7 linked regions of the Macaca mulatta genome follow. The protein of the gene in region 5 interacts with the protein of the main gene of each other region in a pairwise test. Links are inferred from orthologs where the notes say so. Each region holds a gene or a part of one and is shown on either strand. Other genes may lie near its edges. The genes, in order: FAM124A, LMO2, PPP2R3C, STK16, CCDC33, USHBP1 and HNRNPF.

Region 1 (4,412 bases), on a different chromosome or scaffold from region 5:
CTAAATGCTAAGAAAGTGCTTGCTGTTACCTTCAGTTGATTTCGTCTCTCCCAGGGCTTCCATTGCCATTTTTAGGTAAATAGTTCCCAACTGCAACGTCATCATGCGGACCTCCCTACTGAGTTCCAGACACATATACCCAACTGCTGATTCATCATCTTTACTTGGATGTCTCGCAACACTTCAGACACAGTGTGTTGAAAATGAAATGTCTCAGACCTTGCCCAAACTTGGTTTGGAAGAGATCACCAGCTACTTTGAGAATCTGATTAAAAAAAATAAGTTTCTTCTCATACAAATTCATGAAGCACATCATTTGCATACAACGTGAAGCAATTCATGGACCCCAAATTAAGGATCACTGCCTTAGCTGATGTGTCACTTGAGCTGATTCCTGAAAGAAGAGTAGAGTTTCACCTGGCAGACAGGCATGTCAGGTGGGGAGGGCAGAGCTGGCAAAGAGGGCAGCCTGACAAAGGCGAGGAAACAGAAAAACCTGTCAGATGTGGCTAGATACAAGGCGCATAGAAGGACCTGCTGAGAAACAAGGCCAGGGAGGGAAGAAGGGACTCCATAGCAGGAGCCAGGGCATATAAACCACGTTAAATTCCTTGCATTTGTAGATAACTGAGCCATAAAAGTTTGAAAAGGAGAGACATGATCAGATTTGCATTTTAAAAATACTAATGATAGCAAACTTATTGTTTTCTATGTGCTTTCTACACAATCTCTGTGAAAACTGGATAGGGTCAGGGGTGGGGGCAAGCTCCAGAAAAGTAGGGAAACGATGAACAGCTTTTTGATAACTGAAATTCAAGGGCTCTATGAATATACGGAAAACACAAAACTAATGAGCATACATTGAAACGCATGCTATTTTACCTTTAGTTTAAGGATGCTAGTGATACAGTAAGAATTTCTGTTTCTTTTGAGATGGAGTTTCGTTCTTGTTGCCCAAGCTGGAGTGCAATGGTGTGATCTCGGCTCATGGCAACCTCTGCCTCCTGGGTTCAAGCGATTCTCCTGCCTCAGCCTCCCGAATAGCTGGAATTACAGGCATGTGCCACCACGCCCGACTAATTCTGTATTTTTTTTTAGTAGAGACGAGAGTTCTCCATGTTGGCCAGGCTGGTCTCGAACTCCCGACCTCAGGTGATCTGCCCACCTCAGCCTTCCAATGTGCTGGGATTACAGGCGTGAGCCATGGCGCCCCGCCAAGAATTCTTTAAACAATTCTGTCCTGTTACAACTACACATTTTAGTGACAGAGGCTGAGAACAGAAGCTCTGGTGTCAGCAGGAGTGGCGAGCCCCTCCCAGGAGGCCTGGCAGCTGTCATGCTGATGTCTAGATCCTGGGGCGATATCACCCCCTGGGTCAGGACTTCCTCTCCCTTCTCTAAGACAGAGCCCTTGAAAACAACATCAGTTTTAGGTGAGCTCTGCAAATTGAAAATGAATAGACTAGTGAACGCTTTATTTAACGCAGCTACAAATAAGCTGGTTAATTTTGCTTTGTTTCTTCTATTCATAGTCCAGCTAACTAGTGGCAGAAAAAAAAAAGCCAATAATCTTCAATTAAAGTTGATACATGCCACTTATACAAAGAGTGGGAAGAAGAAAGGGAGTTTAGCATTTAGCATCAGGTTACTCCACCAGATTATAATTGGGTGCTGTAGAGAGCTATGAATGAGTTTAGATAACAGAGAAAGCCCATTGCTGGGTGAATGCCCTAGGGAGTAAAGTCCCACATTTGGGCTAGGAGTGGTGGGGCAGGAGGGGCTGTGTCGGGAGCTTTGCCGGGGTTGGGTTAGAACTCTGGGTCGATTGTGGGCCTAGATTCTCTACCTGCCCTCACAGGGTTGCCAAATCCTGAGATTAGTCTAAAACCTCTCCGACCTTTCAGGAATGAGGCTTTCTGCAGTCTGGGCAGCTCCCGCCCTCCCCCAGGATTACTCCAGATAGGAAAAGACATCCTTTCCTCCTGGGTCAGTACCCGTGGCCTGGATGTGGTGCTGACTCTGCACAGGAAAGTCTTTTAGATATAGGGGCTGCCTGGAAGCCTTTATAATGACATTCATCTCCTAAAAGGCATTTTGTCTTTTGTTCCGCTCAGGAAAACAGTGTTTGGAGACTAACTAATTAGTCTCCAAAGGTTTGAGCTCATTGTTTGAGTCCGCTGAAGCGAAGAGAATATTTAAAAAAAAAAAAAAAAGAAAAGAAAAAAAAGGCAGGGCTAGATCCTAATCTTAACACCATCTCCATCCCGCCGGTACAACAGGCCAACGGTTCCGGCTGGGACAGGTGCACTTAGAGGTGACGAAGTTCGGCGGGACTGGAGGAGTCGAGGAAGGGGACTCGGCAGCACAGATTAAAGTCCCACGATGAAGCCATATAACGAGAAATGCCATCCTCCTAGCCGACTTCGGAAAGACTTTAGGTGCGGGTGTCCCACCCTGCTTTTCCTCCTCTCCCCATCTCCAGGGCCGGACTCCAGGGTGCTCCGGAGCTACAGGAGGAAAGTCCCCGAGGAAGGAGGAAACAAGTGCAAGAGCATCTCCTGTCTCTAGCGATGCTGACAAGGGCTCTTTGCATCCGCCTGGCGCTCTGCATCGCCTCACCGGATGGGTGGGCTTGCACTGAACCTTGAGCCCTTCCACTTTCCTTCCCCCGGGTGGGGCCCGCCCTGCCGAGGGCAGCCACGGATCGCTCGGCCCGCCTGGGAGGCAGCGGAGGATCCGGCAGGAGAAGCCCCGCGCCCCTGTCCCATTGCGGGGATCAGGAGGGTCCCCAGCCAGGGAGAAGCCGCCGCGCAACTCGGAGAGCGCCCCCCGCCCGCGGTCCGGCCCGGCGCGGCTCACCCTCCGGTCTCGGCGCCCGAGTCCACGCAGTCGTCCTCCTCGCCGCCGCCGCTCGCCTTCGGGTCCATGATGCGCGTCCCGGCCGCGCTCGGCTCGCGGGCGCCGTCGTGACCCGGGACGCGCTCCTTCCCGGCCGCTCCCTCCAGTCCGAGCCGGCCGGGCTCCCCGCGAGCGTCTGGCCGCCCTGGAGCCGGCAAACAACTCGAGCGCCAGCCGCGAACCCCGCGCCGCGCCCTCTCCCGGCCGCTCCCGGCGGGGCACCCGCGGCCGCGCCCGCCCCGCCCCTCGCCGTCCGGCGGGACCCGCGTGTGCGCGCGGCGGTGCGCGGGGAGTGCGCGCGAGCGAGTGCGTGAGCGCGTGGGGGGCGTGTGCGCGTGAGTGGCCGAGGCGTGTGAGGTCCCGTGCGTCTGTGGATGCGGTGTGAAATGGGTGCGGTGTGCACTCCTGGTTGCACGCGACTGTGGCTGTGCTGAGCGCGTGTGCCCATCTGTGGTGCGTGACCGCGTATGTGTTGTGGGGGCGGGGTGAGTGTGCACAGAAGAGCCGCCCCTCCCAGGCCCACAGTCCGGGAATCCCGAGCCCTAGGGCTTGCCACGAGGTTCCCCAGCTCCTGATCCGGGAGGAGCACTGAGAAAACCAACCTCAGCGCATCGTGAAAGCTGAGAAGGATTTGTTTCCCTTTTGGGAACAATGCGAATACCTGGGTGTTTTCTTATAGTTTCTGAAGAATTGCTGACGCCAAATTCATTATCACCTTTCTCAGTACACATCTGAGTGGCATCCCACCCCCCAACTTGCCAGTTTACAATAGGTGTCATGCATTCTTTTGCTACTTAAAAAAAAAAAAGCCTTTAAAAATAATTTAGAGCATTGAATGAACCTGCAATTCACGGATTGTTGCAGCAAGGGGATAACCTCAGGGTGAGTTAATGATCACTATTGGAGGGGCTCACCTCCTATTAGGAGGGTGAAGAGGGAGGCAAGTTGGCAGGGCGGTCGGAAGGAGAATCTGAACAACCTGAATTTAGTTCTGACAGTCCTATCCAAACCATTGGGAGGAATTGTCCTTACTGAGCCTAAAATTCCTTGCACCCCGAGCAGCAACGGACATATTGGTGCTCATTAGCTGAAAGAAAGGAGCGTGCCAGTTCTTCAGGGGAGATTCGCCTGCCTGTGCACTGATCTCTAAAAGAAAATTCTCAAGTAGGGTGAGAAACATTGTGAGTGATGCATTGCACAATGTCATTAATGATCATTTTTAATGTACTGATTCATTCAATAACTAAATGCCAAATAGGAGGGTGAACTCTGCATATACAAATGAGAGAAAATAGCAACAGGTATGATCCTTGCCTTCACTGCACTTACAATCCAGAGGGGAGACAGTTAAACAAATTCTGTGTGTATGTGTGTGTGTATATATATTATTATTATATATGTGTAACAAAATGGAGATAAACCACTATGAAGGAAAAGAATAGTGTGCCCAAGAAAGAGAGAACATAATTCAAATTGTGAGAGAGCAGGGAAAGCTCTCTCAGGGAGGGATACCC
Region 2 (3,848 bases), on a different chromosome or scaffold from region 5:
ATTCAAGAAGGACAAAAGGCTTCTTCCATCAGTCTTTAGGTAAAGCCTCCTTCACTGTGAAACTGCCTGCAGTTTTTCGGTTTGGTTTTGTTTCTGTAACGTCAAATGCTCCGAGGGCAGGTTCGAGGGGAAAAGCTGGCCCAGCAGCCAAGGGCGCTGAGGTCTCAACAAGCTTCCATGGGTTGGATGGTCTGGGTGCATCAGGGAAGCATGCCTCATAGACCCTCTGCTCCAGGAAGACGGAGAAATCCTGACAGCTACACAGTTGAGCAGATCTGACAGTAGAGGGCACAGAGAGTTACCTCCACAGCAGCTCCTCGAAAACTAGAAACGCTAGTACATTCTAGGCAAAGGCATTCACAGAGTGCTGGAAAATTCGGATGGCCAACGGAAGCATGGGAGATGTCCTCAGCTCCTGTTTTACTTGGCGTGGTCGAGTTCCTATTTTACCCTTCCATTCTTCCATCCCTTTGCTCATTAGATTGGAAAATAATGATTACGTCATAAGGATAAGTTATAAGAGCAGCTAACATCTATTTGATCCATACCGAGTCAAGTAGTTTATCTGCATTATTCCATCAAATCCTCCCCACATCCTTAGAGGTAGGTGCTATTATGATCCCCATTTTACAGATGAGGAAATCGAGTCTTAGGAAGGTTAAGTAACTTTCCCAAGGCCACTAGGAAGCAACGGTGTTGGGACTCGAACCTCCAACTGCCTGCAGGGCCTTTGCCTTCTGTTCTTCAAAGACCGCCTTTCTGCTATGAGTCAATGCTTGGAGCTCCACATGCTTTCTATTGTTAAATTTCTCATCATATAATACTGGAGTCATACAAAAGAATATTTATAACATATATATGTGTGTGTGTGTGTGTGTGTGTGTGTGTGTGTGTGTGTGTGTGTGTGTTCTGAAGCATTCAAATGAGGTCCTCAGAGCCCACCTCCTAAGTTAGAAACACTCCCAGTTCCTCTGATCCTCCGTGCGTACTCCTCCTCAACCCCATCCCCTGGCTTCTCCCGCTCCCCAAGGGAACAACTCTGAATTTTGGGGTTACAATTCTCTTGCCTTTAAAGATATTAGTATTTTACCACATAGGAACGTAACCCTGAAAATATGCTTCTCAAACAGGAAGAAATGCCCTCTGCTTCTCGGCAGGGGAGCTGAGACTCAGTTTCTGCAGCCTGACCTCTTTCTATAGGTGGTGTCTAAGCCTGGAACAGGGTCGGGGGCAACATGCACAGACTGCAGATGTCCAAGGACCCCCCAGCCTCCCTTCCGAGGGCCCCAGTGGAGTGCCGCGGAGAGTACCTGAGATAGTCTCTCCGGCAGAGCTTCCGGCCCAGTTTGTAGTAGAGGCGCCGCCCCACCTCGCCCAGCCGGCAGCCACAGAGGTCGCAGCTCAGGCAGTCCTCGTGCCAGTACTGGTCGATGGCCTTCAGGAAGTAGCGGTCCCCGATATTCTGCTGGCAGCCGCCGCATGTCAGCAGGGACGGGGGGATCTGCAGCACCTCATCCACTGGTTCCCTGGAGAGAAGGCCAAGCATCAGGGACAGCCTCACCAGGGTGAGACCAGCACCGGGGGTCCCAGATCATTTTGGGCCAGACAGGGTACCTCACCTGACTGCCTTTTGGTGACCTAAGGGAGAAGGGACAGGACAACACATCCCTTGGCCAGATTGCAGAATCCCAACCAACCTTGGGTTAAGACGGGAGAGAGCCAGACCTTACTCCCTAGATCTCTAAGAAGTCAACACAAGGCACCAAGAGGCATCAAAGGCAACTGCAGGTGGCACTGTGCCCCTGGCCCATGCCCAGCACTACCTGGGCACCTCTGGTCTCCTTCTGCTTTTTCCCTCTCTCCCCGCTGACTCTCCCTCTCTGTCTTCACAGATTTCCCTCATTTTCCTCCTCCTATACCCTGGACCCAAGGGCACTGCCTAACCTCAGAGGCGGCACCCTGGACTAAGAGAGTCGCTCACCACCAGGGCAGCGGACGACCCAGAGAGCTAAGAATCTGCAAATCCCCTGTTGAATAAAGTGCCATCCTCCCTCCAGCCCTTCCCACCCGCACAAAAGCAGAGGTGAGGAAGAAAGAAGAATGAGACCAAAAATTATTTTAGGCTGCTTTCTCTTTCCAAAATAAAAATTCCATCAGGATATAATAGGAATTCTCCTAGTTTTACTCTTTTACAGAAATTCCATTTTCCATTCTTCCTACTGAAGGAATACTTGGAGGAAAATCCCATATTGTAAGGCCATTGTTACACTTATGAAGAACATCAAATAGGCCTTTCTTTCCTTACCTGAACATTTTTATAACAGTAAAGCTGATTCGGATAAAGTTGATTTGAGGAAGAAAATGAAGTGGGGGCAATGATTATTTCAAAGAGAGTGGAAGGCAATTAAACAGTCATTGACATCTCAATCCAGCAATTGTTAATAGGCTGTGACACGCGTTCTTTCATTAATGTGCCATGCATAGTATCTCTTGTTCACTTTGCTTCACTGGAATCTGAGTACTTTTTTAACATTTAAAAATAAATAATTTTGCTAAAAGAAAATAAACGAGTGGAAGGAATTATTCTAGTGTCCCCCAAATGGGACACAGGAAACACTTAATACTTGTTGATTTGTAATAATTAGCAAGTGTTCTCTGGAACCTTAAACACAAATCTATTTCTTAAAAATCTATTATGTTTCAAAAACCAGACCTTCTTCCAACTGTAAAATTCCCAAAGGGAGTTTCCTCCTGGGTGCCCTGCAGGTATAAATCCACGTCTCCTATTTCTAACTAGTACTAACTTACCAGGTGACCTTGTGTCCTAATTGGTCTGAGCCCACAAAGCCCAGCAGTCATTATACTTGGGGACAGGAGGCTAGGTGGCTCAATGTCTATAACACTCTTGACAACTTCAGAGGATTCTGTCATGTGAAGAATGAAGCCTTTCTTGTGAATATTTAGAAGTGTTAAAGCCATGCCCACACTTTCTAGATACAGTGTAATAGCACTTCATGAGATTATCATCTTTGGAACAAGAAAATGTGAAGTTCAAGTTAGTTTATCTGGGAAAAAAGAAAAATGGCCAGGCATAGTGGCTCACGTTTGTAATCCCAGCACTTTGGGAGGCCAAGGCAGGAGGATCACTTGAGCCCAGGAGTTTGAGGCCAGCCCGGGCAACATGGCAAAATCTTGTCTCTACAAAAAATATAAAAAATTGCCCAGGCTTGGTGGCATGAGCCTGTAGTCCCAGCTACCCAGGAGGCTGAGGTGGGAGGATCACCTCAGTACAGGAAGTTGAGGCTGCAGTGAGCACTGCACTCTAGCCTAGACAACACAGTGAGACCCTAGCTCAAAAAAATCAAAACTATAGTTTCTTTTTTTTTTTTTTTTTTTTTTTTTTTTGAGACAGAGTCTTGCTACAAATTTGTTGCCCAGGCTGGAGTGCAGTGGCACGATCTCGGCTCACTGCAAGCTCCACCTCCTGGGTTCGCGCCATTCTCCTGCCTCAGCCTCCCAAGTAGCTGGGATTACAGGCATCCGCCACCAGGCCCAGCTAATTTTTTGTATTTTTAGTAGAGACAGGGTTTCATTCACTGAAGCCTTGCTTTCTTTCCTTTGTTTCTACAGATTGTATATAAGGACTGCCATTTTCCCTTCTAATAAGTAATACCCTAGCGTTTTTATGTGTATCAACTCGGAATTGCATCTCTTCTCTTTCCACAGCCCATGGTCTTACTCTGGGCTTTCAAAACCACTCATGGGACCTCGACAGACATTGGATGTCCCGATGCAGATGCTGCCAAAGGACTGTGAAAGAGGATAATTTGCCCTTAGCTGGTGCAAAA
Region 3 (4,447 bases), about 56 Mb from region 5:
GGCCAGGCTGGTCTCGATCTCCTGACCTCAGGTGATCCACCCACTTCAGCCTCCCAAAGTGCTGGCATTACAGGCGTAAGCCACTGTGCCCAGCCAAGTACAGGTAACTTCTTTGAGAAGTTTTCCTATAAAGAGTGCAGAGAAATGCAGCAGAAGCTGGAGAGGAATGTGGGATCAAATGACTCTTTTTTTTTTTTTTGAGATGGAGTCTCGTTCTGTCGCCCAGGCTGGAGTGCAGTGGCATAATCTCAGTTTACCGCAACCTCTGCCTCCCGGGTTCAAGCGATTCTCCTGCTTCAGCCTCCCAAGTAGCTGGGATTACAGGTGCGAACCACTGTGCTCAGCTACTTTTTGTAGTTTTAGTAGAGACAGGGTTTCACCATGTTGGCCAGGCTGGTCTTAAACTCTGGACCTCAAGTGATCCACCTACCTCGGCCTCCCAAAGTGTTGGGATTACAGGCGTGAGCCACAGTGCCCAGCCCAAATGACTTTTTTTAAGACAGGGTCTGACTCTTGTCACCCAGGCTGCAGTATAGTGTCATGATCATAGCTCACTGCAGCCCCAAACTCCTAGATTGAAACAAACCCTCCTTCCTCAGCCTCTAGAGTAGTTAGGACTACAGGGGTGCAGAACCACCAGGGCTAATTTTTTTACTTTCTATTTTTGTAGAAATGGTGTTTCACTATGTTGCCCAGGCCAGTCTCAAACTCCTGGCCTCAAGCGATCTTCCCACCTTCGCCTTCCAAAGTGCTGGGAGTGAGCCACCCGGCCTCCCAACAACACTCCCCCCACCCACCCACCTTTTAAAAAGATGGGTGATATCAATAGCACACTTGTGCTGGTGAAAATGATCCAGCAGAAGGAAAATCTGACGATGTATGAAAGAAAGGATGAGGCTGGAAGGAAGTCAGTGAATACAGGAGAAAGAATGCAATCTAGTGGTGGAGTGGAGGACCTCTTAAATAGGAACATGGACAGTTCATCATTTTAACAGTGAAGCCAGAGTGTATGGGCACCTGTGGGGTTGTGGGGCTGAAAGAAACGTTAAGGGGGACAGATGAGGTTCTCCTTTGACTGCTTTTTTTTGAGACTGAGTCTCGCTCAGTCGCCCTGGCTGAAGGGCAGTGGTGCAATCTCGGCTCACTGCAAGCTCCGCTTCTCGGGTTCAAGCGATTCTTCGGCCTCAACCTGTGGAATAGCTGAGACTACAGGCGCCCGCCACCACGACCGGCTAATTTTTTTTGTATTTTTAGTAGAGACGGGGTTTCCCCGTGTTAGCCAGGATGGTCTGGATCTGCTGACCTCGTGATCCGCCCGCCTCAGCCTCCCAAAATGCTGGGATTACAGGCCTGAGCCACCGCGCCCGGCCAACTGATTCTCCTTTCTTAATGAGATATATATTTAAAAAAAAGTTCATCAGCTTAAAGTAAGAAGTGGGTAGGACAGACTGCAGGTGTAAGAGATGAGAAGAATGGACTGTAAAAGAGTGTTGCCTGGGCGCTCACGTCTGTAATAGCAACACTTTGGAAGGTGGAGGTAGGAAGACTGCCTGAGGCCAGGAATTCGAGACCAGCCCTATTAAAATAGCAAGACCTCACCGCTACTAAAAATAAAAAATTAGCGGATGTGGTGGCGTGTGCCTGTACTTCCAGCTGCTTAGGAGGCTGAGGTGGGAGGATCCTTTGAGCCCAGGAAATCGAGGTTGCAGCGAGACGTCACTGTGCTGCTGCACTCCAGCCTGGGCAACAGAGGGAGAGCCTGAATTAAAAAAAAAAAAAAAATAGTGTATCTAGGGAAACACAGATTGGCAGTTTGGAAGATGAAAATTGAATGTAGGAGAATGAACGTCCAGGAAAACACGGTAGACATGACCGAAACATCTACTTTAGCTTAGTGGACATGTACTAAAAGTGAGATAACTCGGCGGGGCGCGGCAGCTCACGACTGTAATTCCAGCACTTTGGGAGGCCGAGGTGGGTGGATCACGAGGTCAGGAGTTTGAAACCAGCCTGACCAATATGGTGAAACCCCGTCTCTACTAGAAATTAACCCGCCGTGGAGGCGCGCGCTTGTAGTTCCAGCTACTCGAGGCTGAGGAAGAAGAATCGCTTGAACCCGGGAGGCGGAGGCTGCAGTGAGCTGAGATGCTGCCACCGCATTCCAGCCAGCCTGGGCGACAGAGCAAGAGACTCCGTCTCAAAAAAAAAAAAAAAAAAAAAAGTGAGACAAGGTTCTGTTTTTCTCCAGCCACTTTCAACAGCCCTTAGTGCGGGTGTGGAATAGGAAAGCTAGATTTAACGAGGTTAGTTAATAAGCAATGTGAAGGAGAAAAATAAAAGGAAAAATGGATTATGAAATATAAAATGGATTAGGAGGGAAGCAAAAAGCGTGACAGTAAAAAGGCGGTAGGACAATTACAGGTCCTGGTGGGGTTGAGGCGTTGTTGGATCCGGGGTTCTAAGTTATTCTTCACAAGTTTAGATTAAGACCATGGAAGTCAGTGACTAAGGCTAAGTTTTTCGTTCCCCCAGACTCCGTCCCAGGAAAGTTTGGGTCAACCCTATCGGGATCCCTAAAGCACATTCCACTCCGCCTCCTTTGTCGCGAGGTTTCACAGAAGCGGAAAGTGCGGCTCCCCCTTGCTCCTCCTCCCCATCTCCCTCCTACCTCTAGGAGTTTAGGGCCGGGCCATCCCAACGGACGGCCCCTCCCAAAACTCACTGTTTGGACGGGTGTTGGGCGTCGCTAAGCGCCGACGAAGAACTTCTTTCCAGTCCATGGCCGACTCTCGCGCAGCAGCTTCTGCATTTGCTGTTTCCTACCTGCTCCACCCCTACCAACTCAGGCGTCAGCACCGCCAGGCCCCGTAAAGGTTAGGAAGGCCGCTCAACCACCATCTTGAACAAGGGCGGAAGTCTTGGCTAAAGAGGCAAAAACAATTACTGTCACTCCCGCGGAGAATACCGCTACCACGCTGACTGGGGCAAAGCTATGAAAGAGATGGAAAATGGTTCCCCTTCAGGAGGCGTCCCAAACTCACCAAGCCCGATTTTAAAAGGCAGGATAAGCCCGCGTTTTCCTTTATCGTGCGCCTTTGGCGCGTGCGCACCACGTGACTCAGAAGTTAATTGATTCCGGCTTGAGGGAAGCGCTTTCTTTCACAATTTCTTTTCATTGTTCATTGCGGATATCTGTAAGTCCTCCAGGTCCCCTGAATGTAGTAGACGCTTCCGCAGCCGTCTCTTACCCCTTTTGCCACAAAATGCTTCAAAATTGCCTTTTTTCCTCGCCGCCAGCCCAGGCGGAACGCCTAAGTCCGGGTCAGTCTCGTCAGTCGGCCGGGGCTGGCGCGGTGCATAGTGGGCACTGTAGTTCCCGCCGCGTTTATGGCCGCGTTAAGCCTGAGTGCCGCGTTGAGTTGTTGAATGAAGTGAACTTCGTTTGTCAGCGATAGGTACGCAGTCTAGGCAGCGCCCTTCCTGGATCTCTCTTCCTTTCCCGAGTCGTTGGCGCACCTGACTCGCCACCTCCTCCCTCCGCATCCCTCCATCGGAGGAGCTTTGCGGTCTTTGGAGAGTTATGCAGGGTGAGGGCCCCTAGACTTTGGCTTTCGCCGCTGTTGCTGGTGGGCTGGAGTTGGAGGCTCCTGGATACGGTTTTGGCTTTATACGCCCTTTCCAGCAAGCTTCCCGTGGGAATCTGTTCCTTTTCAGGACAACTGTGATCCACGTGAGTAAAACTGGGCGTTCCTTCTTGTGCTTTTTCCTCAGGTTCATGAACTGGAATGTAAGAGGCACCAGAGGATTCCTGCTCTGTCCCCTGGTTTGCGGCTTGCGACGTTGGACATCCCCGGATTGTTGTTTAATAGAGAAAACTCACCTGCCTTCTTGCTATTAAGTAACCCCAAAAGCAGAACTTTGATTTGTCTGTAAGGAAGAAACACAAATCTTCTTTTAAAAAGCTGCACTTCGACTCTCCACTGCCGACCACCAATCCCTTTAATTTTGCTATAGAAGAGGGTTTTTTTCCAACATCTCTCTCACTATCTGGTGCTGATCTCACTGCATAATGACTTTCTATTTGTTTGGTATTCGAAGCTTTCCTAAGCTTTGGAAGAGCAACCCATACCTTGGGCTAGGCCCAGGGCACTCTTATGTCTCTCTCTTTCTTTCAGACAGCTGTGGCATCAGGAGCCAACAGAGGTTGTTTTCTCTTAAAACAATGTCTCCACAGAATACCAAAGCAACGAATCTGATTGCCAAGGCCAGATATCTCAGGAAAGAGGAGGGCAGTAATAAGCAAGTTTCTTCTGTTCCTCATTTTTTTTCAGCTGGAGCAGCTAAGAAGAGATCACAGATGAATCCTCAAAGTAAAGATCATGCCTTGCCATCTGTGAGGAACACTATTCAACTCCCAACACAACCTTTGAATTCAGAGGAGTGGGAT
Region 4 (4,378 bases), on a different chromosome or scaffold from region 5:
AGAATGCCTGTGGAGGGAGGAGTGCAGGGGGACTGGATGACACCTATCTGTCAACCCAGCTAATACCAGGGGGCAGTCTGAAGTACTTGATGCCCCATTCGTTGCTTGCTCACCTGGGGCTTTGTGGGATGCTGAGTTGGTTCTGCACAGCAAGGGCCACACTGTCACCCTTTTGGAACACCATGTCATAAGGGCCTTCTCCAAACATCATGGCATATAGCACGCAGCCTAGGGACTGAGCATAACTTGGTTAGTCCCTAGAAGGGGACCAATGGAGATAACATCGCTCCCCTTACTTCTGTGGTAAAAGACTACATAAGCTAAAAAGAATAAGCTGACCTCAGCCACATGGCACCACCAGGGCACAGAGAAACTGCCAGTCGGTTGGAGGCCTCCGCAGCCCCTGCTTAGCTTAGCCCCTGCTCTTCAGTACTGATACTGAGCTGTACTCACCTTGTTCGGGGCAGGGATTATACCACATCCGGTGCAACTGGGTACAGTATCAGTGACAGTTCCCAGGAAGGAAGTTGAAGTGGATGGGGACATACTGTGGTTCCTGGGGCCCCATGCAACAGAAACCAACGACCTACTCTACTCCACAGCAGGTACAGAGCCACAGCCCTCCCTACCCAGATACCCACCCACATGCTCCTCACCCAGACATCAGTCCGCTCATCGATGACACAGTGACTCTGCACAGAGAAGAGCTCTGGGGCTCGGTAGGAGATGGTGCACCGCTGGGCTGCCCAGTCCTGGAACAGTGATCCCAGAGCTCAAAAGTGGGGCACTCGTCATGGTCATGTGACCAAACTGGGGCATGCACCAGAAGGGGTGGGAATGGGGAACAGGTGAGAAAAGGAACCTGGAGATTTTTTTACCTGCAGGGTCAGAGCCTGGCGGGAGCCCTCCACATTGATGCATGCTTGATTCATAGAACCCAAGTCCATTAAAACTGGCTGCCCCTCATCTCCGAGCAATATATTGGTGGGCTTCAAGTCCCTGTAGGGAAGTAGAAGTGACCTATGAGCATCTCTGGACAGGAAGGCTGGAATCCCAGCAAGCAAAAGAATCATACAGGCTGTTTCTTGGGAGAACAGAAACCTCCCATTTCTCTTGGTAAGGCTCTTCCTCTGGGCCCCAGCAAGCATACAGGGTCCTCCCACTGACCTGTGGGCATAACCCTTGGCATGAATGGCCTCAAGGCCTCTGCAGATCCCCAGCAGCAGCCAAAGGATTTGATCCTCAGTCAGGAAGTTGCCTTTGTCCTTCAGCCTTTCTATCTCATTCCACAGCGTACCTCTCTGCAACACAAGTTTCCCTACAGTTGGAGATGTTTTTGGAGCCTCTGCTCCTTAGGCCTGATCCCTTCCCTATGTCAAAGCCTATCAGCCCTTTCATGATACACACCTCAAACTCAAAATCTAAAGTGGCCAAACCCAGGACATGGTCCCTGCTTCCTAACATGCTGGACTGCTCACATAGCCCATGGGTAGGTGGCTCTGTTGCAACCCCCTCCATAACCGGGAGTCTTTCTGACCTTGAAGAACGGTAGCAGCAGCCAGGCCTCATGCTTAGCACCCCGCTCCCTCAGACAGTAAGCCACGAGGCGAAGGATGTTTGGGTGACTGAAGAGGCGATGCATGTCGGCTTCTCGCTGGGCCTCCTCCCGGTCCTGCTGCTCGTGACACAGGATTCGCTTCAGGGCGTAGAAGTGTCCATCATGTAACCCTTCCACTAGGTCCACATAGCTGAACCCACTGTGGGCCAAAGGGGTCAATGAAGGGTCATGGTCATCTCCCACATGGCTAAGACCTAGCGAAATTTCCTGGTGGGGAGTGGGGTGTCCTTCCCATTTAGCAGAAACCCTCCCAAGATGTGGCTCTAAGAGAAATCTGAAGAATATTACACTGTGAGCTCCTCAGGAGCAGAGATACAGAAATCTTTGAGGTCCTATGGTCGTAATAGAGACCTCTGCACGTGACAGATGCTAAATAAATAATAGCCAACACTTTTTTTTTTTTTTTTTTTGAGACTGAGTCTGGCTCTGTCACCCAGGCTGGAGTGCAGTGGCCGGATCTCAGCTCACTGCAAGCTCCGCCTCCCGGGTTTACGCCATTCTCCTGCCTCAGCCTCCCGAGTAGCTGGGACCACAGGCGCCTGCCACTTCGCCTGGCTAGTTTTTTGTATTTTTTAGTAGAGATGGGGTTTCACCGTGTTAGCCAGGATGGTCTCGATCTCCTGACCTCGTGATTCGCCCGTCTCGGCCTCCCAAAGTGCTGGGATTACAGGCTTGAGCCACCGCGCCCGGCCCATAATAGCCAACACTTATCAAGTACTTAAGAACCACGCACTGGGTGAGACATTTTATACACATTATCTCATTTAATCCTCACAACTCCATCAGTGAGGGATGATAATCATCTCCATTAAACATATGAAAAAAACATGGTTTATCAAGGTCACATGAGGTGGATTTAGCAGGCCTGGCTCCAGAATCCACCTTCTTGATGCTGTGTAGCTAGGCTCTGTCAGGTGAGAGGAGATAGGGATAGGGATAAAACCCTTGTGCCCCAAGCACGTGCACACCGCTTTCCTTCAATGACCACAACCTTGAGGCCTAGTTAACTGACTTCCAAACACTCACCCCTCCCCCAGTTTCTGGATGAAGAGGTAGCGCTTATTGTCAATGATGACAGTTCCCCGAGAGCAGACACACAGCGCGTGGCCCATAATGTTTCAGTCATCCTCTTCAAGGACAGTCTGAGGCTACCGAAGAGCTCGTCCAGGGTGAGTGGGCTCTTCCAGGAGATGCGCTGGGGGCCAAGCGGATCATGCTGGAAAGAAAACAACGGCAGGGTCTCACACAGGTCCGGCACAATCTAGACGACTCATGAAGTACCAAGGCGGAGAGCTCAGGCCCAGGTCTCTGGAACCTACACTATTGTCTAGAGAAAATGGGCCTTGCTCCTTCGCCAGCTTCAAGCGGCGGGGGTCAGGGGCCTTATGGCCTCAGGATACACAGCGGCTACCGGGCCACTTCCTCCAACCCCAGCCCACCTTTGGGCAGGCCCCGCTCCCACACCCGTCGCGCCGCAAAGACAGAGCACAGCGTAGTTTCAGAGGACGTGCGAAGCTCACGCCCACTCCTGGCAGGGCCCACCCCCGGCCTAGGAGCCCAGAGTCTGGAATGGGCCAGCCTGCACTCCCCGACTGACCTGGCTCGGGACAGAGCGAAGCGCCACCGACCGGAAGCAGTGCTGACATCATCAGTCCGCGGCGGCGTAACGGCCCGCGGTATCTTAGCAACCGCTGGGCATCTGGAGGATGTGGGGGCGCGGAGCTGAGAGGCCCAGGGCGAGCTAGGTCTAGGGGTGGACGGGTCCCAGGACCCTGGTGAGGGTTCTCTACTTGGCCTTCAGTGGGGGTCAAGACGCAGGCATCTGCGCCAAAGGGGAGCAAAGCCGGGCTCGGCCCGAGGCCCCCAGGACCTCCATCTCCCAATGTTGGAGGTAGGAGGCTTCATACCTCCGGCGCTCTGGGGCAGAAAGCGGCTACTACACTGCAGCCCGGAGGGGATTCCAGGTAGGGGCGGGTCTGGTGGCCTGGTCTCCTGATCCCTTACAACCTTCCGGGCTCTGGCCTGTATCCCACTACCTCTACTCTCAGTGGTTAAGAGCTCAGGCTTGTGAACCAGACTTTCAGTTTCTAAATTGAGTGTTAATAGCATACTAGGTGTGTAACCTCGGGCAAGTTACTTAACCTCTCGGATCCTTACTTTTAGTAGCTGTAAAATAGGTATAATAGTACCTAATGTTAAGTAGCTTAACTGTGAGGCCAGACTGACTAGTTCAAACGCCAGCTCTGTTAACGTAGTTGTGTGACCTTGGACAGGCTACTTAATGTTTCCCTCCTTTCCTCTCCTCCTCTGTAAAATGGAAATGATAATTATCTACTTCATGGAGTTGTTTGAAGATTAAATTAGATGTACAGTGTTTAATACAATATCTGACACATAGCCTTCAGTACATGTCAATAAACAGTAATTATTATTACCCTGATCTTCACATCCCATTCTTGAGATTGTAAAGTCAAAAGAAAAGGAAATTCACAAGTTTCCAAGCCTTGGCACAAAGCAGTTGTCCTTAACATCTGTTGCTGAGGCAGGCAGGGTAAGCTGGAGAGGGGTGCACTTCCAAAGAAGGTGGAATGGCCAGGAGGGAATTGCTGTTTTGCTGAAACGGTGCTCTCCAGGAAAGAGGTCCTTCTCGTGACCTGGTTCCTTCCTTCCACACCCCGGATCACCCTGAAGATTTTCCAACAGTTTCCCTTGATTCTGAACCTGTTTTAGCCCTTTGGTTCTGACATTCATTCATCCAGA
Region 5 (3,848 bases):
TGTGCCTGTTGGCCATTTGTATTTCTTTGTTGGAAAAATGTCTATTTGGGTCTTTTTCTCATTTTTTAAATTGCGTTGTCTTTTTGCTGTTGAGTTGTATGAGTTACTCATATATTTTGGATATTAACTCCTTATCAGATACATGGTTTGCAAATATTTTCTCCCATACCATAGGCAGCCTTTTTGTTTTGCGGATTATTCCCTTTGCTGTGCAGAAACTTTTTAGTTTGATGCAGTCTCACTTGTTTATTTTTGCTTTTGTTGCCTGTACTTCCGGTGTCATATCCAAAGATTAAATGCCAAGACCAATGTGAAGGAGGCTTTCCCCTATGTTTTCTTCTAGGGATGTTACAGTTGCAGGTCTTACATTTAAGTCTTTACAAATAAATACATATTTTTAAAAAAGCATTGAAGTATTCATCATGAAGAAAACGAAAACTTTTGTGAACTTTCTTATGCCTATTGCGTGCTTTGTTACTTGTGTATTTGTAATCAGATGTGCAGGGATATAAAATTCTTTCCAGGGTCTATGGCCTCTGAGGATCTGGATCTTCCCTCTGGGGTTCCTGCCTGGGGCTGGCGGCCAGCACTGAAAGCCCCCTTCAGGTCCTGACAGCTGGGCCCTCATTTTCAGAAGCCCTTCCTTCTCCCTTCATTTGCATCTCATTAGCACCACCTCGAGCTGGTGGCAGCTCCACCTTTCTGGAGCCCTGGGACGCAGGCTGCAGCCTGGCCCAGGCGCTGCTCCCAGCTGGAGAGGGGTGCAGCGACGTGCTTTCCCCTCCCCCTTCCCCGCGTTCTCTGTCCCCACCCTCTCTCCCGCCCCACGTGCTGCAGCCACAGGGAGGGCGCAGGAGGACTGGGGTGTGCCCGGCTCTCTTATCCCCACCCAGGCTCGGGTCGCCTAGGCTCCTGCCGCGCATTCCCATGGCAACCGGGTGATGGCGCGGGTCGCGGTGCCTGCCTAGGAGCCACGCGGCCACCCAGCTCCCCGCCCCGCCGCCCAGGCTGGATTGGTGACAGTCAGGGCCTCAATCTCCCGAGATGATCGGCGATAATTGGTTTATGGAAATAGCTGAGCGGAGAAGGCGAGCTCCCCGCTAGAAACAGCCTCCCTGCCAAGCCTGCTCCCGCCACCTGTCCTTCCCTCACCACGGAAATGGAGTTGGGGGAGGGAGGGCCGAGGAGCTGGGCTGGCACAAATGGGGCTTTTGAGGCAAGTGTTTCACCTGTTGGACTCGGCACAGCTTCTATCCCTCTTTCACAGTGGGGTGCTGGGGGGGCAGGGACTTGTCATAGTAACCAGGTGTTGGCCTCAGTCACTCCTTGGCCCCTAAGTCTGGGCTCAGGCCTATGTTGGGTGCATTGTTGGGGGAAATGGAGGAGGAGATCCGTCCTCAGGGAGCCCCAGAGGAGTGCATAAACCATATCGATATAAAGTACTTCAGACCAGTGTCACCACTGCTGTGGTGCTCCGGAGGAGGGAGAGCTCAACTCTGGTGGCTGCCTGGAGGAGGAGGCTTTGAAGGCAGGATTTCAGCAGGCATTGGTGAGAGGGCTGGGGCAGGCACTCCCCAAAAGGAAATGTGGGCAACAGACTCTTGGCAGGAACTGAATGGTGCTAGTATTGGGGGAGGGGAAGTATAGGGTGGCTTGGTGGGAGGCCACCAAGGCTCCCACCGTCTGTCTATAGAAGGGGTATAGGGTTGATGTGCTCCTTGGAGGGTGCTTTATAGTAAAGATTGAGCACATGTCTAGTGTCCCCAGGGAAGGTTGGCTGGATGGAGATTGTGTTGCCACTTGGTGCCTTTCTGGAAGAAGTGAGACCCGTGAGGTGGGCATAGATGTGGCATGGCAAGCCTTGGCGCCAGGCTGGGGAAGTGTGTACCCTGACAGCAGCTGGCTGGAGGGGGTGTGTGGGGTGCATTAAAGGCCCAGAACTATGGGAGTCCCCATGATAGAAGTGACTGGAGAAGGAGGGGAGGGGAGGGTGGTTATGAAGACCCTACCCCAGGGCTGGGTATGGTGGGGTGGGGCACCCAGAAGTCAGGAGAGGCAGGCCCCAAATATTCCCCTTCCCCAATCTGACCATCATGCCCATGAGCCCAGCCCAGGCCTCTGCATACAAGCGCCCTGCCCCACTGGAGCTGAGCTGTGGCCAATCCCTGCCCCGTTGGGGTGGGGTGGGGAGGGGTGACTCTCTGGACTCCTTGGCACCCTGCCTTCCCCAGCCCTGGTGAGCAGCTTCCCATGCAGCATTGGAGATACCAGGCAGTGCCCACAGTGGCTCTTCCCCTCTGGGTATGACCCAGTCCTGGGCCTTTGGGTGCTCATATTCCAAATAGCTGTCCCCTGGTTTCTGCTCACAGCCCAACCCATCCCCTGACCCCACTCTCACACAGCTACTTACACCACCACATAGGGCCATGGCTCGGAACCATCCTTGCAGGCAGGCAGGTTGGTGGCTCCATGGAGGGTGACCGTGATGGTCTCCTTGTTAGAGGGAGACAGGTGACCCATCTTAGGTTCCGTGCTCTGGGAGGCGACCAGGGGCTCCTCTGGGTCTTCAGTGTTCTGTGGGGAAAGCCAGGGCTAAGAGGCCTTTTTTTTTTTTTTTTTGCGATGGAGTCTTGCTCAGTTGCCCAGGCTGAAGTGTAGTGGTGCCATCTTGGCTCACTGCAACCTCCATCTCCCAGGTTCAAGCAATTCTCCTGCCTCAGCCTCCCCTGTAGCTGGAATTACAGGCAAATGCCACCACGTTCAGCTAATTTTTGTATTTTTAGTAAAGATGGGGTCTCCCCATGGTCTCCAACTCCTGACCTCAGGTGATCCGCCTGCCTCGGCCTCCCAAAGTGCTGGGATTACAGGCATGAGTTACCACACCTGGCCCTGAGTGGCCTCTTCTGCTGCGACACCTCCCTTCACTGCCACCCTCTAGCATCTAGCCCCTCACAGCTCCCGTCAAGTGCCTGCCTCCCTCTGTCACCCCTCCGCCCACTCTGTAAGTCAGTCGCCTTGGCCTCATTTTCTCCCTACTTCTGTTCCCATCCCACATCTCTTGCAGTGCCTTTCAGCCTCTCCCCCAGCCCTGGATCCTACCCTTCCTGCTGGATGAGACAGGCCACCTCACCTTTCAAGTCTGGTCCCACTTCTAAGCCTTGGCTTTCGCAGGTGCCCTTGTCTGTAATTCCTAAATCTCACCTGCTTTTGCAGTTCTAACAATGGGCCACCTTCTTCAGTCTATCCTGTAACCTCAGCTCAGCCCACCCATCACCTCAGGCCCCTCCTGTGCACAGCACTTTACAGCTGACAAAGTTTCTCCACGTCCACGGGGGCACTCAGTGCACATGGAGGTGAATTCGTGCATCTGTCCCAGATGCCCCACCTGTCTTCTACCCAGGAACCTTGTGGACTGGGGAGGAAGAGGTGCCTGCCCATGCAGGGGGCCTCCTACGCCAGTTGCCTCAAGCAGGGACTCAGCAGTTTAGTAATTCGTGGATTCATGGCCCAAAGGACCATTGTGATGAGAGTTGCCGAGAGAAGACAGAGCTCTGGGTGGCTGAGGCAGTCAGGGAAGACAGCAGGAAGGAGGAGGCCTTAAAGGGTTGGAAGAAGGTGCAGGAGTGGAGTCAGGGAGGACAGGCCAGAAGCAGAACGCTGGAGCAAAGGCAGCAAGCGGGAAGGGCAGAGCTTTCCAAGGCCCAGAGGTGGCTCATTTTGACTGGGGAGGCAGTGGGGACTCAGGGAAGATGGCAGAGCTGGGCATATAAGCGCTGTGGGGTGGGGAGGAGTGTGGCCATAGGGCTGCTGTGGCTCAGGGGTGTCCTCCTCCTCCCTGGTCCTGGTCC
Region 6 (2,632 bases), on a different chromosome or scaffold from region 5:
ATGTTGGCCAAGCTAGTCTCAATCTCCTGACCTCAGGTGATCCTCCCCGCCTCAGCCTCCCAAAGTGCTGGGATTACAGGCGTGAGTCACCACACCCAGCCTGTTTTGTTTTTTTGAGACAGGGTCTTACTCTGTCACCCAGACTGGAGTGCAGTGGTGTGATCTCAGCTCACTGCAACCTCTGCTTCTCAAGCTCAAGTGATCCTCCCACTTTAGCCTCCTAGATAGCTTTACAGGCACATGCCACCATGCCTGGCTAATTTTTGTATTTTTTTTTTTTTGTAGACATGGGGTTTTACCACGTTGTCCAGGCTGGTCTTGAACTCCTGGGCTCTAGTGATCCACCCACGTTGGCCTCCCAAAGTGCTGGGATTATAGGCGTGCACCACTGCGCCCGGCCCCCTTCAGGAAAATCTGCCAGCCAAACCCAGCATCTCCTTGGGAAGGAGCTGCCAGGAGAAGCTTTGTCCAGTCCCCATGAATCCCTCCCTGGGCTTCAGGAGACAGGCCAGTTGGAACTTCAGCTGTGGCTATGCAACCTCACGGACCTCCAAAATTCGTCAGTCCCAGAGACCTGGTCCCACAGCCCAGGTTGCTTCTGGCCTGACCCCACTGATGTGAAGTTCACATTCCACTTGGTGCCAGGCCAAAGACACCCAAGTCTTTCTGCATTGCGTGGCCACACCCATCAGGCCCTGGACACCCATGTGCACCAGCTTCCCTCATGCCAAATGTGCCCCAACATGCCAAATCATGCAACATGACATGATGTCACTCCAGGATAGTTTATGACATGCCACAGCGGTCTGGCATGTCCAGACATGGCTGGGTAAGGGGCCTACAGAACGGTATCCCCAAGCTGGGGAGGCGGGGGGGGCGGCCTGGGTTTCCCCAGGGCCCTTGCAGTGGCTTCGAGCACCGCCACCTCCTCAGCCTGCTGAGCCTCCATGAGTGCCATCTGCTGCTCCAACTTCCGGCATTGCTCTTCCTGCTTCCGGTGGGCTCCTCGCAAGGCCAGGACCAGGGCGCTGGAAGGGGTGGGTGGGCTGGGTCAAGAAATAGCCCCCGACTCCACCCAAGGCAGGGGCCATGTACTCCCACTCCCAGAATGGGGGCTTTTTCACATTGGGTCTCCCAGGGTCCCAGCTAACTGGTCTTTTTGTTGTTGTTGTTGTTGTTTGAGACAGAATTTCGCTCTTGTCGCCCAGGCTGGAGTGCAATGGTAAGATCTCCCCTCACTACAACCTCTGCCTCCTGGGTTCAAGCAGTGCTCCTGCCTCAGCCTCCCAAGTAGCTGGGATTACAGGTACCCGCCACCATGCCCAGCTAATTTTTTTGTATTTTTTAATAGAGACAGGGTTTCACCATGTTGCCTAGGCTGGTCTTGAACTCCTGACCTCAGGTGATCCGCCTGCCTTGGCCTCCCAAAGTGCTGGGATTACAAGTGTGAGCCACTGTGCCCAGCCTGTTTTTTCTTGTTGTTGTTTTTTTTTTTTTTTTTTTTTTTTTTTTTTTTTTTTTTTGAGACGGAGTCTGGCTCTGTCGCCCAGGCTGGAGTGCAGTGGCTGGATCTCAGCTCACTGCAAGCTCCGCCTCCCGGGTTTGCGCCATTCTCCTGCCTCAGCCTCCCGAGTAGCTGGGACTACAGGCGCCCGCCACCTCGCCCGGCTAGTTTTTTGTATTTTTTTAGTAGAGACGGGGTTTCTCCGTGTTAGCCAGGATGGTCTCGATCTCCTGACCTTGTGATCCGCCCGTCTCGGCCTCCCAAAGTGCTGGGATTACAGGCTTGAGCCACCGCGCCCGGCCTGTTGTTGTTTTTTTGAGATGGAGTTTTGCTCTTGTTGCCCAGGCTGGAGTGCAATGGCCTGATCTTGGCTCACTGCAACCTCTGTCTCCCGGGTTTAAGCGATTCTCCTGCCTCAGCCTACCAAGTAGCTGGGATTACAGGCATGCGCCACCACGCCTGGCTAATTTTGTATTTTTAGTAGAGATGGGGTTTCTCCATGTTGGTCAGGCTGGTCTCGAACTCCCGGCCTCAGGTGATCTGCCCGCCTTGGCCTCCCAAAGTGCTGGGATTTCAGGCATGAGCCACTGTGCCTGGCCCAGCCTGTTGTTTCTTTTTTTGAGACAGAGTCTTGCTCTGTCGCTCAAGCTGGAGTGCAGTGGTGTGATCTCTGCTCACGGCTACCTCCAACTCCTGGGTTTAAGCAATTCTCCTTTCTTCCAAGTAGCTGGAATTACAGGCATGTGCCAAGATGCCCAGCTAATTTTTGTACTTTTAGTAGAGATGGGGTTTCACCACATTGGCCAGGCTGGTCTCAAACTCCTGACCTCAGGTGATCTGCCAGCCTCAGCCTCCCAACATGGGATTACAGGTATGAGCCACTGTGCCTGGCCTTTATTGCCTATTTTGGGGCAGCGGGGAAGGCTAAGGCCCAGAGAGAGCCAGGGATACTTCTGAGATCCTGGTGGGGGATGGTGCCAGGGGGATTGGAGGGATGCAGAACAGGGGTCCCACCTGTGGGCTTTGCATAAATCCCTGTTCAGCTCGGCACTCTGAGACCGTCTGGCTCGCCCCTTCTGAGCCACCCGTTCCAGCTCCCTGCGCAGAGACTGCAGCTGCTCCCGCAGG
Region 7 (4,383 bases), on a different chromosome or scaffold from region 5:
AAATAAAACCAAAACCAACACCACTTCTAGAGGTAACTATCACTTTACAGCAAATATAAAGAACAGAGACTCAAAGGCCACCAGGGAAAAACAATCAGAAAAATGCGAAGTGTGGGGAAGGAATGCTGCAAGACAACCCGACAAATATAACCGGGAATGGGGCCTTTAAGAAAGGGGAACTTCTAGATGATCACTGATACAGCATCCATTCACCACACCTGAAATGTGTATGTGTAAAACTCACTGGATTTTGACAGGTTCACAGGATTGTTTTTAATTATTTTAGTCAAGATCATGGAGAAACGAAAGTGTTTTAATAGTGGATATATGTTAGGTTAAATTATTAATACAATGAATCACGTTTCCTTTTACCACTAGAGAATATAAGATTGGCCGGGCGCGGTGGCTCAAGCCTGTAATCCCAGCACTTTGGGAGGCCGAGACGGGCGGATCACGAGGTCAGGAGATCGAGACCATTCTGGCTAACACAGTGAAACCCTGTCTCTACCAAAAAACACAAAATACTAGCCCGGCAAAGTGGCGGGTGCCTGTAGTCCCAGCTACTCGGGAGGCTGAGGCAGGAGAATGGCGTAAACCCGCACGGCACTCCAGCCCGGGCGACAGAGTGAGACTCCGTCTCAAAAAAAAAAAAAAAGAATATAAGATTACATTTATAGCATACATTATACTTCTATTGGCCAGTGCTGCTCTGAATTTAAAAAGTTATCTACAAAATATAAGGTGTGACTTTGGATCCTGACTCAAACCAACCAGTTGTTTAAAATATTTAATACGGAAACATTTAAACCCTGGAAACTTGGTATTTTGGAATGTATTTTTAGGTATGATAGCAGTATTATGGTTAGATTTTAAAAGTCCTTAGAAATACTGCGGATTTATTTATTAATAAACACCTTATTGGTCTGGGATTTGCTGTAAAATAACCCAGGGTGGTCTTGGCTGACTGTTCTCCCTCTGCCCACCCTGTTGCCCTCCAAAGAACCGTAGCTCAGGGGAACTAAGACAGGGCAAGGGCCCCGGCAGGGGAGGGGTGTCCCGGTCCAACTTGGGACCCAGTCCCAATTGTGTCCCTGGGCACGTGACTTCTCCCAACCTCCATTTTCTCATCTGGGGCTAATAGCAACCCCTTTTACAGTAGTCCTGAGAATGTAATTAGAAAATGGAATAAAACTTCTAGGACCTAGTAAGAATCAACTAATGTGGTTCTCTCGAAGAGCAGAGAACCAGAGCTCAGTGGAGGAGGGGAATTAGAGAAGTCACCTCCACGGAAAGGGCCTGTCACATTTCTGCAGCCCCTGCAGGCATCTACCCGCACTAGGCTCTCATTTGCCTCCAGACTTTCCAAGGTTCTGGCCACGTGGGAGAAGTAACTTTATTTACTCACTATTTTCCCTTAAATAAATTGCAATTTTTACCTGAATAAAGCTTTGTAACGCTACCCTTAACAGAAAACTTCACAGTTTACAAAAAAGTGGCCAGGCATGATGGCTCACGCCTGTAATCCCAGCACTTTGGGAGGCAGAGGCGTGAGAATCGCTTGAACACAAAAGTTTGAAAATCAATCTGGGCAACACAAGGAGACCCCATCTCTACAAAAAATACAAAAATTTGCCAGGCGTGCTGGAGAATGCCCGTGGTCCCAGATACTCGGCGGCTGAGGTGGGAGGACCCCTTGAGCACAGGAGGATCTCGGCAGCCAGCCGAGATCACACAGCCTGGGCAACAAAGTGAGACCCTGTCTCAAAAAATAATATATATAATATATATATCATTTTATAGAGACGGGGTCGGTCTCTGACGCCCAAGCGATTCTCCCACACCTCGGCCTCCCTAAATGCTGGGATTACAGGCGTGAGCCACCTCGCCCGGCCGGCAGTGACTCTAATCTACAGAATGCACACCGGAATGTAATACCTACAAGGCAAAAGATCTTTTTGCTTAGGAATAAAGCAATCTCTCTCTTTACATTCATTAAAGTAGTAATGTCTTATTTTATAAATTCTGTAAAAGCAACGAGTCACTTTTCAGGGATAGCACTTAAGATATCTTTCACCTACCTAGAGAACCCAATGAATTTTTATCTTACTAGGAATTCAGAGACAACCACGTATCTAACTTTTAAAAATATAAGTAGAAAGAATTATATGTGTATATTTTTGGAAGAATTAAGATGACTTTTTGAAAGGAACGACTGAAGACAACACTTTCAGAACTCCCTGCCGCCTGAGGCTGTGGCCCTGACCCCGGCGCAGCGCCCGCCCCGCGCGGTTCCGGGAAGCCGCCGTCGCCGCCCGTTGCCCTTCGCGCGCAGCCGCCAGCGCGCGCCTCCTGTCCCGCCACGCAGATGGCCGGCCCGAGCCCCCAGCGCCCGCAAGCAGTTTCGAAAACTAAAGAGGCGCGTTAGCTCGTCCCCGGGCCGCTCGGAGACCGAAAAGCCGCAGCGAAGGGCGCCCCGCGGGCAATGGCCGAGCTCGGCTCTCCTTCCACCCTCCAGCCGGGACACACGCGGAGCCGAGCGGGGATCCCAGGCACCTAGCGGGAGGGGTCCCCGCGACCTGGGCGGTCTGGCGGGGAGGGCGAGTCGGGTGCCCTGCTCCTCAAAACCCTGGTCCACGACTCTGCGGTTGGGGGAGCGGGGCAGCCGGCGCAGCAGGAGCCGGGCCCCGTCCTCAAGTTTCCTAGGAGCAGGGCGGAATCGACGAAAATGCTTCATACACACAAGCAGAAGGGAAAAAAAAAAAGACGACTAAGCCGAAGAGCGCGCACGAGTCAGATTTTCACCCCAGATACAAACACGGTACCTCTAGGAGCAGGAGACCAACACAGAGACCGCGCTACGAGGACACGCGGCGCCGCCGAGGAAGAAAATGGGCCCAGGGCAGAGAGCTAAGGCTCCGGGAACCGGGCGTGGGAGGAGGGCGGAGCCAACTCCCCACAAGGAAGTCTTGTGCAACTCTCAGGCGCCTACAGCCACGTGAGCGCGCGGCTTTCATTTTATTCAGGTATTATTACTACTGTTATTACTTCTGAGACAAGGTCTCACTCCCATCGGCCAGGCTGGAATGCAGTGGCACAGTCACTGTCACTGCAGCCTTGACCTCCTCAGAGCAAGCAACTCTCCCGCCTCAGCCTCTCGAGTAGCTGGGACAACAGGCGCGCGCCACCACACGTGGCTTTCTATTTTTTTTTTTTTAACTTTTTAGCAAAGACAGTTTCACTATGTTGCCCAGGCTTGTCGGGAACTCTTGGGCTCAAGAGATCCTCCCGGCTGGGCCTCCCACTGAGCCAGGCCTGTTCTCACTTTCAGAGCCCTCCGGTGGTCGCCAGCGCCCGACCAGGAGGCTGAACTAACGCACCGGCCGGCCGTGTCTTCCCGGCAGCCCCTGACTCCAAAATCTCAGCCCGCGGTGCTCACCGCGTGGGACCACTATCTGGGCGTGCGGCTCTCGACCTCCGACACTGCGTCTCCCGATCCCAGGGGGTCCAGTTCTCGTCGGTCCCACGTACCGGCCCCTCGACCTCGAATCCGTCCCCCAAATCTCAGCGCCGCGGCCCCTCATTATGTGCAGTCCTCGATCGGTCCCAGATGCGTGGCGCTTAAACTCAGATCTCTCCTCCCTGATCCCAAATCCCAGCCCCAGCCCCACCCACCCCAATAGGCCCAAACCCCAGGTAGTCCGGGTACGGGGCCCTGGACTTCGGAAGGTCTCCCCAATCTCAAATCCCAGGCCCACTGTCCACACCCCCAGGGGGACCCGGTCCCCGCTCGGTCACGGGTGTGCGGCCTTCGACGTCGGAGACTTCGGCCACCCCTCACCTCGGCCTCCGAGTCTCTACGCTCCCGCTCTCACATCAGGCACCCCGGTGGTCCCTCGGAGCACCTAGAGGAGGGTGGGACGCGGGGAACTTGGCAGTTGTAGCAGAGGCAGTTGAGGCTTGTTGACCATCACCATGGAAACCCCCGGCTGCGAGCACGGGGCGGGGCCTACGAGGGGCGGGGTCAGGCGCGCTGCCGGCCCCAGTCCTTAGCGCCTGCCCGACGAGAGCACGCGGCTTTGCCGGAAGCCCTCCTGCTCCCGGCGTGCCAGGCCCCGACTCGGCCCTACTCCCCGGCTCGGCCCTTTGCCCTGAGCACCCGGAAACAGAAGCCCAAGGAGCCCGCGTCCCCACCCCGCTGCTACCTGCCGGCGTGACAGCGATTCAGTGCCACCCCGAACCCCACCTTAAGGAAGACGCGGCGCAGTCCTGCTTCCACGACGGAGCCGGAAGGACGCAAGGACCGCGGTAGGGCGGAGCTTCTGCGTCTTGCACCCGGGGGCGGGGCCGCGACGGCGCTACTGTGACGCGCCCAGAGCGGAGCTA

What was found.
Region 1: the proteins of CCDC33 (region 5) and FAM124A interact in a two-hybrid assay, tested with the Homo sapiens proteins (2 studies listed by BioGRID and IntAct). The two-hybrid records come from large-scale screens. The link is inferred for Macaca mulatta from reciprocal best matches to the Homo sapiens genes CCDC33 and FAM124A.
Region 2: the proteins of CCDC33 (region 5) and LMO2 interact in a two-hybrid assay, tested with the Homo sapiens proteins (2 studies listed by BioGRID). The two-hybrid records come from large-scale screens. The link is inferred for Macaca mulatta from reciprocal best matches to the Homo sapiens genes CCDC33 and LMO2.
Region 3: the proteins of CCDC33 (region 5) and PPP2R3C interact in a two-hybrid assay, tested with the Homo sapiens proteins (2 studies listed by BioGRID and IntAct). The two-hybrid records come from large-scale screens. The link is inferred for Macaca mulatta from reciprocal best matches to the Homo sapiens genes CCDC33 and PPP2R3C.
Region 4: the proteins of CCDC33 (region 5) and STK16 interact in a two-hybrid assay, tested with the Homo sapiens proteins (2 studies listed by BioGRID and IntAct). The two-hybrid records come from large-scale screens. The link is inferred for Macaca mulatta from reciprocal best matches to the Homo sapiens genes CCDC33 and STK16.
Region 6: the proteins of CCDC33 (region 5) and USHBP1 interact in a two-hybrid assay, tested with the Homo sapiens proteins (2 studies listed by BioGRID and IntAct). The two-hybrid records come from large-scale screens. The link is inferred for Macaca mulatta from reciprocal best matches to the Homo sapiens genes CCDC33 and USHBP1.
Region 7: the proteins of CCDC33 (region 5) and HNRNPF interact in a two-hybrid assay, tested with the Homo sapiens proteins (3 studies listed by BioGRID). The two-hybrid records come from large-scale screens. The link is inferred for Macaca mulatta from reciprocal best matches to the Homo sapiens genes CCDC33 and HNRNPF.

Annotation. Positions count from the first base shown.
Region 1 is NC_133422.1:30,450,569-30,454,980, reverse strand, and holds the start of FAM124A (protein FAM124A), read right to left. Parts: upstream 3,064-4,412; 5' UTR 2,928-3,063; coding exon 2,860-2,927; intron 1-2,859.
Region 2 is NC_133419.1:31,415,919-31,419,766, reverse strand, and holds part of LMO2 (rhombotin-2), read right to left. Parts: intron 1,527-3,848; coding exon 1,311-1,526; intron 1-1,310. UniProt on the Homo sapiens protein: Acts with TAL1/SCL to regulate red blood cell development. Also acts with LDB1 to maintain erythroid precursors in an immature state.
Region 3 is NC_133412.1:108,239,567-108,244,013, forward strand, and holds the start of PPP2R3C (serine/threonine-protein phosphatase 2A regulatory subunit B'' subunit gamma), read right to left. Parts: upstream 2,812-4,447; 5' UTR 2,781-2,811; coding exon of another isoform or gene 2,723-2,780; exon of another isoform or gene 2,660-2,722; intron 1-2,659. Other genes in the region: PRORP (mitochondrial ribonuclease P catalytic subunit), read left to right, coding at 4,070-4,447. UniProt on the Homo sapiens protein: May regulate MCM3AP phosphorylation through phosphatase recruitment. May act as a negative regulator of ABCB1 expression and function through the dephosphorylation of ABCB1 by TFPI2/PPP2R3C complex.
Region 4 is NC_133417.1:124,492,698-124,497,075, reverse strand, and holds the start of STK16 (serine/threonine-protein kinase 16), read right to left. Parts: upstream 2,833-4,378; 5' UTR 2,731-2,832; coding exon 2,645-2,730; intron 1,758-2,644; coding exon 1,538-1,757; intron 1,302-1,537; coding exon 1,168-1,301; intron 1,000-1,167; coding exon 879-999; intron 753-878; coding exon 657-752; intron 236-656; coding exon 114-235; intron 8-113; coding exon 1-7. UniProt on the Homo sapiens protein: Membrane-associated protein kinase that phosphorylates on serine and threonine residues. In vitro substrates include DRG1, ENO1 and EIF4EBP1. Also autophosphorylates. May be involved in secretory vesicle trafficking or intracellular signaling.
Region 5 is NC_133412.1:52,157,293-52,161,140, reverse strand, and holds part of CCDC33 (coiled-coil domain-containing protein 33), read right to left. Parts: intron 2,575-3,848; coding exon 2,411-2,574; intron 1-2,410.
Region 6 is NC_133424.1:17,736,568-17,739,199, forward strand, and holds the end of USHBP1 (harmonin-binding protein USHBP1), read right to left. Parts: coding exon 2,519-2,632; intron 1,029-2,518; coding exon 839-1,028; 3' UTR 767-838; downstream 1-766.
Region 7 is NC_133414.1:55,882,516-55,886,898, forward strand, and holds the start of HNRNPF (heterogeneous nuclear ribonucleoprotein F), read right to left. Parts: upstream 2,900-4,383; 5' UTR 2,823-2,899; intron 1-2,822.